Caenorhabditis elegans: one gene and its partner. The gene in region 1 interacts genetically with each later gene. Each region holds a gene or a part of one and is shown on either strand. Other genes may lie near its edges.

Region 1 (6,230 bases):
TTTAAAGTTATAACTTTTGTACTTTTTTCAAAACAAAATCCAACGTAATATAATCGATTTTTTTCAATTAATTATTCTCTTATACATCCGCGTCAAAAATACGGTACGCGGCCTCGACACGACAAATTTTAGTTAAATGCGAAATGTTGTGCGCCTTTAAAGAGTACTGTAATTTCAAACTATGATTGCTTCGGAATTTTCATCGAGTTTTTTTTTAAATTTTTTCTAATTATTTGTTCAAAATTATGCTTTTATTGTTATATTCCATTTTTCTAACTATGCAATTCGGTGAAAATTCAGCAGCAGCAATAGTTTGAAATTACAGTAATCTTTAAAGGCGCGCACATTTTCGCATTTATAAATTTGTCGTGTCGAGACACCAATAATATATTTTTCTAATTTATTTCAGTCTCCAAAGTCACATATGATGCACAAGTACTAGTACGTCAAACATATCGTCGCCATGGAACTGAAATCCTCATCGCCACAAATGTGATACTATTATTATTGTTTTTGTACATTTGTCGACTATTTCCATTCAATAAATGAGTTTTTATGATTGGAAAATAAATATTGCTTACAATTTTATGGGAAAAGGAAGACTTAATGATGAGACACACCCACGGGGATTTAATGATGAAGAAATATGAGGGAAGTAATACAAAAATTTATGTCAAGATTCTTGATTTGAAAGTTTGTAATTTTGTGACAGACAAACGAACAGAGAAAGTGGAGAGAAAATAACTAAAGTCGGAAAAATTTCAAAAATTTTTTGGGCGATTTTTATAGTTTTCAAAATTACAGAATGGAGCTAACAAGGTGAGAATAATACCTTCACACGCTTTCAAACAAGAGGATTAAGTCGTGAAACACATTGTGAATCTAACAGGAGAAATCATCCTAAAAGTGGGAGAGACACGACCCGAATGATTCGGGGTTAAGGATCTACAGTTATCTTTTTAAAAGTGGTGGTGGAAGAGACAAGAAAGAGAACACTGGAGTTGAAGAGTGAGGGAAAAGTATAGAAAACGGGCCACGTAATTCAAGAATGATATGAGAGGATAGAGAGAGGGAGAGAGTAAAGAAAAAGAAGCTATAAGAATAATAAAGTACAACTCTATCTCAAATTGGAAGCAAAAGACAACTTTAACAGTTGAAAAATAGAAACCAACTAAGAGCTTATTCCTGTTTTACTTCAAAAATTTACGATGACGAAGGATTTGAAAGAAAGAAAGCGAGTAACATTGAATACGCGATTAAATGTCTATAAGTCGACATGAGGACTACGAAAACGGGAAAGAAGGGACGGGATTTGAGAAAGAATTGACTCACAAAAATATGGGGAAAATATGAAAAAAAAATTTAGAGTTATATGAATGTGATATTTGAGGATAAATTGAGAAAAAGGGAAAATGATGATTGGGGGAGGACGAAATCCAACAAGTTTACGAAAACAATAATTTAAACATCTGAGAAGATGTAGAGATTGTTAGTGGCAGCAAGAGCAATGATGTTATCCTTTGGATGCCATGCTGTGTGCAATATTTTACGATCAAATTGAAGTTGATCAGATGAAAGATCCTCTTCGGTCTGTAAATTGGGTTTTTGTTGATTTTGAAGTAAGATATGTTTATCATATTTTCACGAGAGTTTAACATGCATTCTTAAAGGTGCACGGATGTATTCAGATGAGTCTTGGCGATCAAGAAAATTTACGGTTGTGCTTTTATTTTATGCGGCTGATTCCTCGTTTATTTTACATTTTCAATAAAATTACGTCGTTTAAAGTGTATTTTTAGCGAAAAAATGTCGCTAAATACGAAGTAATTATATTGAAAAATAAAAAATAAACGAGAAGCAGTCGCATAAAATAAAAATAAAAACTACCATAAACTTTTTTTGCGCGCAGAGACCCATTTAAACATGAAGACGTTTTTTTAAATTTAATTGAAATCTTACCGTTTCACCGCTTGATGACAGATTGTTTCTCTTCCGTTTCGCTGATGGTACAACAAATCGAGATCGGAGCTGTGAATGTGGTTCTTGAGGCCGAGCTTCCCAAGTTTTCGCATCTTGGTTATTGCCACGAGCATATGAACGGAACAGATTATGATACGAACCCGTGAGAATATGTCTGCAAAAAGAAAATTATAATATGAAAAAGTACTGCAATTAATTACTTGTCATCTCCACTCCAATCGCACTCGAATTTATCGAAAATTGAATCATTTTCGTAGAGTGCACAGAGTTTTGTTCGTAAATAATTGTGCACTGGATATGTCTCTACCGGTTGTGATTCCATGTTCAAATCCCACACCTGAAATATAAAAGTTGTTCAAATTTTCTTTTTAATTATTAATAATTACCTTGACAGTAAGATAGTCCCTCGTAAGCAAGTACCTTCCATTATGTGAGAATTTGACGTCACTAACAGATGCAATAATCTCCGAGAAGAAAGATCGAGATTGAGGGTCTTCTGGTTCCTCGAAAACTGCAAATTAATATTATTTATATAATCAATACACAGAACCAAACGCACTTTTAGCATACGCATCACATAGAGCACGATCTCTCATATCACACAATCGAATAGATCCTTTTGATGAAGAGTATACAAACCAATTACACTGCGTTGGATGGAATTCGGCGGCAGTAATAACTTCCGTAAGTTCTTCCATATTAGCAGGCTTGATGTCGACAATGTCTGGAAGAAATCGATATTAAAATTTTTTGAAAACAAGTATTCAAAACTCACTGAAAGACTCATTGGTAATCTCCAGATTCCAAAGGTTAACTCGCAAATCGTCGGCAGATAGGAATGTTTCCTGAAAATCGGAATATAATTTTTAATTTCGGTTCACTTATACATAATTGATATTTTGGTCCTTGCAGTACCAAACATTTTAAATTTTCACAAAAAAGAATTCAGCCAACCTGGTACTATTTTTCTAATAAATTGAATAGTTAAAAAAATACGCCGAACATGTGAAGAAGGTTATACTGTTGAGATTTTGATTCATCGTATACTTTGGATTGAAAAAAGCTGAACACAAAAAAAAATTATTAAAATACCTGATCAGAATTCACTGAAATACTGTTGACGTGATAAGTGTGAGCATTTCCGTAAACTCGTCTCGGACTTGCTTCAACTATCAACTCCATTGGCACGATCGAGGGTATTTGTAAGCGACCTCGGAAGGAGGAAGTGCTGAAAATTATATTTATATATTTAAAATATTTAATCATTAATGTTATACTTGATTCTGTTTGTTCTAGGCAGATTCCATGCATCGTCTCCAATTTTACGCTCTCTTTCACTAATTTTCCACAGCTTGATTGTTTTGTCGTTGGTCGAGAGAATGAAATTGGCTGCATTCTTCTTTTTAAGCCACCGAATTTGATTAATTTTCTCGTCAATTTCTAGTGATTTCAAATAATCAAATTCAGGTTCATGAGATTGAAATGTCGAGTAAACATTATATTCCCTCGATCGAACGCCTTTCACATACTTTCCCTGAAAAATTAAATATTTAAAACAGTTCTCGTCTTTCTAAAAACTAAAACCTACACTCTGATCTCGTTGGAAAATTACAACACGTCCTCCTTTGTCTCCCGTTGCCAAATATTCACCATCGTGTGAAAATTCCACACAAGAGATCACATCGGCTGAAAATTATTCGATTTTTCAGTATTCTAGGCATCATAATTTTTACTAATTTTTGACATATCATCTTAAAGTCGCACGCATTAATTCAGATGGGTCTCGGCGCGCAATAATGTTTATGGTAATTTTTTTCGAATGTTTTACTTTAAAAACTGATTTAAAACAATTTTCACAGAAAAATGAAAAGAATATGACAAATTTCGCAAAAAATGAACTAAGTAGTATTTTAATTTTAAAAAAAAACAAGGCAATTAAACCACCAACTTTTTTCTGAATAAATCGTGCGTCTTTAAGAAATAGTATCAAAAACGTAGGGAAATTTCAAGTAACAATTTTTTACCTTCCGTGTGCACATCGGCATCTATATTTCCTTTCACCTGGTTGAATTTCCAATTTATTTGATCTACCGGTTCAAATGTTTCATCGTTCTCAATTGGTCCCTCGGAGGTATCCATATCAAAGTCATTCGCATGCTCCTGCGGTTGATTTTGCGATGTAGTCGCCGCAACTGCAGGTTCGTCCACTTCCATCACCATTATTCAAATTTTTCCTCTTTTTCGTTGTTTCTTTGGTTCTCTTCCCTTCCTAATCACTGGATGTGACGAAGATTAAAGTGTTTGAGACACGGGAATGACGACTATTTTTAATGCGTCTGAAAAATGGAAATTATTATATACAAAATTGGATTAGGAATTCAGAGATTGACATCGGGAAAAAAAGAAGCATAAATCCTCATGCCGCAGGTTGCTAGGCAACAAATCTGTCGAGTGATGAAGAAAAAGCACAACATGGTAAAACAGGAAATTAAGACAATTGTTTGAAAGAGAAATAGCTGCAAAGTTTTTTCAAAGAGTCAAAAGGAATGGAACACTCAGGTCAGAGAATTAGAGACAAAGAACGTTGTTTAAAAGTTTGTATGTTTGATTCGATCACAAAAATGACCGAGAATCACAGCGGTGCCGCAATGCTATCGCAATTTACATGACGAAACGCGGGCAAAAAAACTAGGGTGCGAAAGGGCGCATTTGCAATTTGTAAACGGAAGGGACCGGTTTTGAGTGCATTTCAGTGCAACAAAATTAGAAAATGAAATAACACAAAAATGTTGATAATGGATGCTTAATTTACGTAGATCAATTTATAAGTAATATCTCTCTGATCGCCGCATTTTAGTCAAAAAAAAATTGTTGGTCAAAAGCACGAAGATTTGGTTGGAGAAAACAAGCAGATGATGCTTACCGAGATCTCGTCTGCCAACCAAGGGACTCTTAATCCATCGGCGCAGAGCAAACGCGCGAGATTAATTCGAGCTTCTTCACAACATCTGCGTCTCTTCAGTCATCTCATTATGTTATTACTATCAACACTGAATGCTCATAAAGCACGAAAGCAGAGATACATGGCTCGAGGTAGTTCTCTAATCATCTCATTTTCACTGAATTCTTTTTTCTATTCAAGTTTCTTCCTAATCCGCTCCCTCACCTGTGTGAATTCCAGTTAACCAAAAACGGAGCAATAGACAGACCGTAGAGAGAAAGAGACAGAAAAGGAAACAAAAATGAGTGTGTATGTGTGCGTGTGTGCCGAATAATAATGAGCAGAGTGAGGCGCAAAATCAGATTATAACTTCAACTTTTTTTTCAAAATGGTAGATAACCAATCGATCGATCAATAATTATCAGATGAGTCATAGGAAAATGACTGAAACAGTATGCGATCACGCAGAGAAGAACTTCACGCAGCTGGCCAGAGGGCAACAACAAGACGGAAATAATCAATGACTACTCATGACTACACGAGAAGGAACCTCTTACTTATCAGCTGTCCTCCGATAGAAACAAAAAATTATTGATCAGAAAGCAAATATGATTTCAAAAGTTAAAAGCTTGATTATTTCAAAATAATAATAAGGAAAATGCTGAATAAGATTGTTGTGATCAACAGAAATCCAATTGGCAAAATGTAATAAAAAGTGAAAAACGGAGACGGAAGGAATCATGATGGATTAAAAAACAATATACATCCATTTTCTAAGCGGCAAAAACGAGAGATGGAGCACTCCCTCCATGTGTGTGCGGGCCTGTGAGTGTCAACGACGTGTGCAGCATGAGGCGACGACAGCATCAGCCGGTGGAGAAGCAGAAGACATGGTGGGGGAGGAAAAGAAGACGTCGAGAAGGAGCGAGAAGAGATATCAGTGTTCTTCCGAAGGGAGCGCGAGGAGACATGAAGAGATGGGCGACTACTGCCTTGAAGAACCAAATAATCGATTGGCTATGGCGCCGGCGACGAACCGAATGGCGAAAACGGAATGACGCAGAGTATGAAACACGAGACAGTGCACCTAAACGAGTTACGCAGACAGCTCGACGATGGAACACAAAGAAACTGTGTGCGAAGCTAATAGCATTGATGGACAGTCAACTCTTTCTTTTTTTATTTGAAAAATGTTACTATCATTATTTGGAAGCACATTTTGACCGTTTCGTAAAAGAAAACTTAGTTCAGTGAAAGTAGGGTCAATTAGTGTTCGCAAAAAGTGTAATGAGTTGGGCTCTTCTTTTTA
Region 2 (4,995 bases), on another chromosome or scaffold:
TGATTTCAACAAAAAGTTGTTTCCAGCTGCTGCGACATTGAGAAGTCGGTCAAATTTCAAATTTTAACTAAACCTAGGCCATTTTTTGAGCCACCATAACTTTTTTAAAACAAGTTTTCAAGATGTTTCATTATAAAATTCGGTGTTTTCAGACTATTTTGAGTTTAGTCAAGAAATAATAATCGAAATAAAAAATCGACTACACCACTTTTAGCATGAGATAAACGATAAAAGTATGCAATAAAGGGTGATAATTTAATAAAAACTGTAAGTAAAATTCCAGAGGCTGCCATAAGCAAGAGTTGCCGAAATTTCGGCTTTTTTTTCGATTTTTTTTTAAGAAAAAAGTCTCATTATGATATCCAGTCAGTTTTGGTCTATTCAAGCAAAATAACCAAAATCTCTACTACTTTTCAAATTTCTTCAATTCGATCGAATTTGACCTCAAAAAAATCGAAACGAGAATCAAAAAAGAGTCGACCTTGAAGTAGTGTATTTGTGTTGATTAGGTGGGGCTACTGATTGCACTGCAAATCAATAAATATATAAAGTCTTCTCAACAGATCAAACTGGTTCGAATAGAACAAGGCCGTGGTGAGAGATGGTGGCCGGCCGTTGTCGGGTGTCCATTTCTCTAGAATCTCTCACAGATTCCTGCAGTATTTCGTCAGCAGCCGCCGGCGGGTAACCCCCCGCTTCCCGTTCTCATCCCGTATCATTCTGTCCGCTTGTCTGTCACCTCTACGCTTCCATCACACTCCATCTTTTCTTCTATTTCTTCTTTTCAGTGTGTGTGTTGTTCCATGCATTATTTTTGCGGGTTGTAATCATCATCATCATCGCCATCATACACTTTTCTCCTTCTTCTCCATCTTGCTTTTCTCGCTCTCGTCAATATAGTTTTTGTCTTAAATAAACTTTGCAAAAGTGAAAATTTAAAAAAATATATAAATTCGTTCCTTGCATGCAGATTTTTTTTTCTGAAATTGCCGGAATTTATGTTACCAGCCAGGGATGTCCGGCAATTGTGGTTTGGCAAATTTTCTTGTCCACAAATTCGGCAAATTGCCGATTTGCCAATTTGCCGGAAATTTCGATTTTCGGCAATTTGCCGATTTGCCGTTCGCCGGATATCAATTTGCCAGAAAAATGAGGGTTTTTTATATATTTTTTTATATTTTTCATAACACTTAAAACTGTGCCTTTTTGAAATTTTTTTCCGGTTTTCTTTAGATATTTTCATAGAATTTGCTAACTTTTCAAAATAGATGTAGGAACATTCATAGGATGCGTACAATTTTGCTGATTGAAATTGAACTTCTGGAATTCCCAAAAAAAAAGTGCAAGGCCACAATTTGCCGGTTTGCCGATTTGCCGGAAATTGTCAATTCCGGCAATGTTGATTTGCCGGAAAGTTAGCAAAAATCGTTTGCCGATTTTTTCCAGCAAAGCGGCAAATGGCCGGAATTGAAATTTCCGGCAAATTGGCAATAAACCGGAAAAGTGGCAATTGTCGAAAATTTTCGGCGAAACGTGGTTTTGCACTTCTTTTTTTGTTGGAAATTTCAGAATTTCAATCTAAATCGGCGAAATTGTACGCATCCTATGAATTTTCCTACGTCTGTTTTGAACTGTAAGAAAAAATTTAAAAAAGGGGCAGTTTTAAATGTTCCCATCTTATAAAAATCCCTCTAAACATTTCCGGCAAATTCCAATTTTTTCGAGGAATTGGATTATGTTCCATATATCAACGAAAAAAAAAACAATTTTATTAAACAAAATAAATTGAAAAAATTCGGAAATTTTTCATTTGACGGTATATGCTAAAATATTTTTTTCTGTTCACTTTAAGGTACTTCTGGTGATTAGAAAATTTAAAAAAAAATCGATTGTCAGCGTAAGAATTTATTAATTCATGAATTTTAACTCGTAACTTATTGTTGGCCCACTAATATATTTTTTCCTAAATAATTCAAAATTTCATTGCAGATGGTCATATAAATGAGCATAATGAGCATATCACTGCACTCGGCATCATCGGATACGGTCTCGTTGACCAGCCGACGAACAATATCAACTAGTAAGCATTGGGCGGCTATTTTTGATGAAAGAATTTATCAGGTTTGTATATATTTGAATATTTCCTGAATTCAATAATATTTTTCAATTTCAGATATGCAATATCGTACATCCTGGCCTCCCGATTGACAATGCTGCAGTTGAGCACATTCGATATTTTTTGCAAAGTATCGTTTTTGAGGTATATATATATATGTATATATCGGTTTTTTTTCAAATCTAACAAATAAATTAATATTAATAAATTCCCCCTGTGCATTTCTTGACCTTGTAATCCTTTCCCCTCTTCAGCTCATCGAAGCACGTGCCACAAGTGTCGTCGAAGTGGACAAAACTGCGAAAAAGCTGTTCGCATTCGGTCTGCAGACTGTTTGTAAAGTAAGGGATTTTCAAAAAATGTTTCCAAAAAATTTGTATATTCATAAATCATCAAAAAAGATCGTGATTTGATTTTCAAAACTATTCATTTTTTGTCTTTTATCCTGAATATTCAAGTTTATGGAATTCTTTCCGCTTTAAAATATTTTATTTAAAATGTACTACGAGAACACAAAAATCTGAGAATGCGTATTGCACAACATATTTGACGCGCAAAATAACTCGTAGCGAAAAAGAAAACTACAGTAATCCTTCAAATCACTACTGTAGCGCTTGTGTCGATTTACGAGATCTCGATTTTCGTATTAAAAGCGATGGAGCTTATTTCGAAAATTGGGCCCCGTAAATCGACACAAGCGCTACAGTAATCATTTAAAGGGTTACTGTAGTTTTCGCTACGACACATTTTGCGCGTCAAATATGTGCAATACGCATTCTCAGATTTTTGTGTTCTCGTAGTACATTTTAAATAAAATATTTTAAAGCGGAAAGAATTCCATAAACTTGAATATTCAGGATAAAAGACAAAAAATGAATAGTTTTGAAAATCAAATCACGATCTTTTTTGGTGATTTATGAATATACAAATTTTTCTTTTTTTTGCCTAAAAAATCTGGGTTTGGACAAAAAAAATATTAAAAAAGTAGTGAAATTGGTGAAAAAACCAACAAAAAAAAACGTTTTCCACCTAACATAAATACAAGAAAAATGAAATATACTCTTTGGGAAAAAAATATTTTTAAAAATTCTAAAATTCTGAAAAACCACAAATTAAAATGAACAAACCACGAAATATTGAAAAATTCAACTTTCGAAAATTTTCGTGATTTTAAAATTTGGATTTTTCAGAATTTGAGACTATTTTTGAATTTTTCGGAGCAATATTCCCCCTAAAATGTGTATTTTTTCTGATTTCTCGAATTTTCTTAAATATTATTTCAAAATTTGCAGGAAGCCTGGGACAACATGCACCAACAACTCCAAAAGCACAAATATCAAAAAGCCCTGAAAACAGTTCTAGAAAGCCAACATCGCCTGGCAGCAGTCATCAAAGAAACACTTGGACCACGAGAAAAAGAGAAAAAAGATCGAGAAAAGAAGGAAATCGAACGTATCGCATGCTATATTTATTATGCATGTGAAAGTGTTACTGAAGATGTGCTCAGGCTGACTGGAAATTATGTGAAAAATATTCGAAATAGTGAGCAAAAGATTACGATGGCTAATCTTGATGTGGCGATGAACGGGGATAAGGTACTGCTTTTTTTTGGAGAAAAATATAAAAAAAACCTATTCAGCAGAAAATTTGCTTCGAAAAAATAAAAATAAAAATAGTCTTGAATTCAGAAAAAACCAAAAAAATCGCAATTTTAGCTAAACACAATTTTGTTTTCGAAATCGAAAAACGAGAAAAAAATTTTTTTTTTGAAAACAAAACATTTTTCGCCGAAAAATACGAAGAAATAATAAATTTTTCGCCAAAAAACACAAAAAAGCGAAAAGAATAAACATTTTTCAGTTTATAACGTTATTTTAAAAAAAAACTTGCTTATTTTGACCAAAATTGCATTAAAAAAAATTCGAGTGTGATTTTTTGGAATTTATGTAAAATTTAATATTTTTCTATATTTTTCAATTTATCAGAATTTTCCGCTTTTTATCAATCTTTTTTTCGAAAAAAAAGCAACAAAAAAAAACACATTTTTCGCCAAAAACACGGCAAAATCTACAACCCTGACTGCTGCGACCAATCAGCGATTCGCTCCGCCCATTCTTCAACCAATCAGATGGAGTGGGCGGAGTTTGGTGGCGCTGATTGGTTGTGCAGTTTTCGTTGCGGTGGGAATTCAAAGTTAGCCAAAATTTTCACGATTTTCTTGTGTATTTTTTTCCGAATTTGAGACTATTTTGGTTATTTTGAAGCGAAAATTCAAAAAAAAAAAATCCCAGAAATTTCTGAAATTGACCTAAATTGACCTGAAAATCGATAATTAGACTTGTTTGCAAAGAAAAAAAAAAGGAAAATCTAATTAATATAGCCGTCGGCAATATTATTGCCGAAAAACGATATATTAATTGGGTTTTCTTTGTTTTTTTTCTGTTTTATAATTGGAAATATTATTTTTTCAGACTTTTTTCTGGAAAAAGGGTATAATTTTAAGATTAAATTATCGGTTTTTGGCCAATTTTGGCTAAATTTGTTTCAAATTCTCTTTTTTCATAAATTTCATCTCAAAATTATATTGCATATGTCCACTTCGTGCCAGGCTGTCCCATTACGGTTTGATCTACGAAAAATGCGGGAATTTTTTCCCAGAAAAAATGTGACGTTAGCACGCTCTTAACCATGCGAAATCAGTTGAGAACTCTGCGTCTCTTCTCCCGCATTTTTCGTAGATCAAACCGTAATGGGACAGCCTGACTCCACGTGTATCTGCACGTGGTCTCAAAGTGTCCCATTTTGGTTTGATCTCCGAAAAAGGCGGGACGTCACATTATTCCGAGGAAAAAATTCCCGCATTTTTTGTAGATCAAACC

What was found.
Region 2: changes in sur-6 (region 1) and sos-1 together harm fitness more than expected from each alone (negative genetic interaction), as found in Caenorhabditis elegans (one large-scale study listed by BioGRID).

What each region holds. Positions count from the first base shown.
Region 1 is NC_003279.8:9,752,208-9,758,437, reverse strand, and holds sur-6 (Serine/threonine-protein phosphatase 2A regulatory subunit sur-6), read right to left. Parts: upstream 4,317-6,230; 5' UTR 4,201-4,316; coding exon 4,005-4,200; intron 3,667-4,004; coding exon 3,569-3,666; intron 3,515-3,568; coding exon 3,258-3,514; intron 3,209-3,257; coding exon 3,073-3,208; intron 2,826-3,072; coding exon 2,756-2,825; intron 2,705-2,755; coding exon 2,540-2,704; intron 2,492-2,539; coding exon 2,367-2,491; intron 2,318-2,366; coding exon 2,181-2,317; intron 2,135-2,180; coding exon 1,960-2,134; intron 1,591-1,959; coding exon 1,462-1,590; 3' UTR 550-1,461; downstream 1-549. Other genes in the region: F26E4.2 (Tnp_DDE_dom domain-containing protein), read left to right, coding at 410-549. UniProt on the Caenorhabditis elegans protein: Probable regulatory subunit of serine/threonine phosphatase let-92.
Region 2 is NC_003283.11:4,546,286-4,551,280, reverse strand, and holds the start of sos-1 (Son of sevenless homolog), read left to right. Parts: upstream 1-1,989; 5' UTR 1,990-2,001; coding exon 2,002-2,121; intron 2,122-2,173; coding exon 2,174-2,260; intron 2,261-2,370; coding exon 2,371-2,457; intron 2,458-3,408; coding exon 3,409-3,711; intron 3,712-4,995. UniProt on the Caenorhabditis elegans protein: Promotes the exchange of Ras-bound GDP by GTP. May regulate signaling pathways downstream of receptor tyrosine kinase, egl-15 and let-23.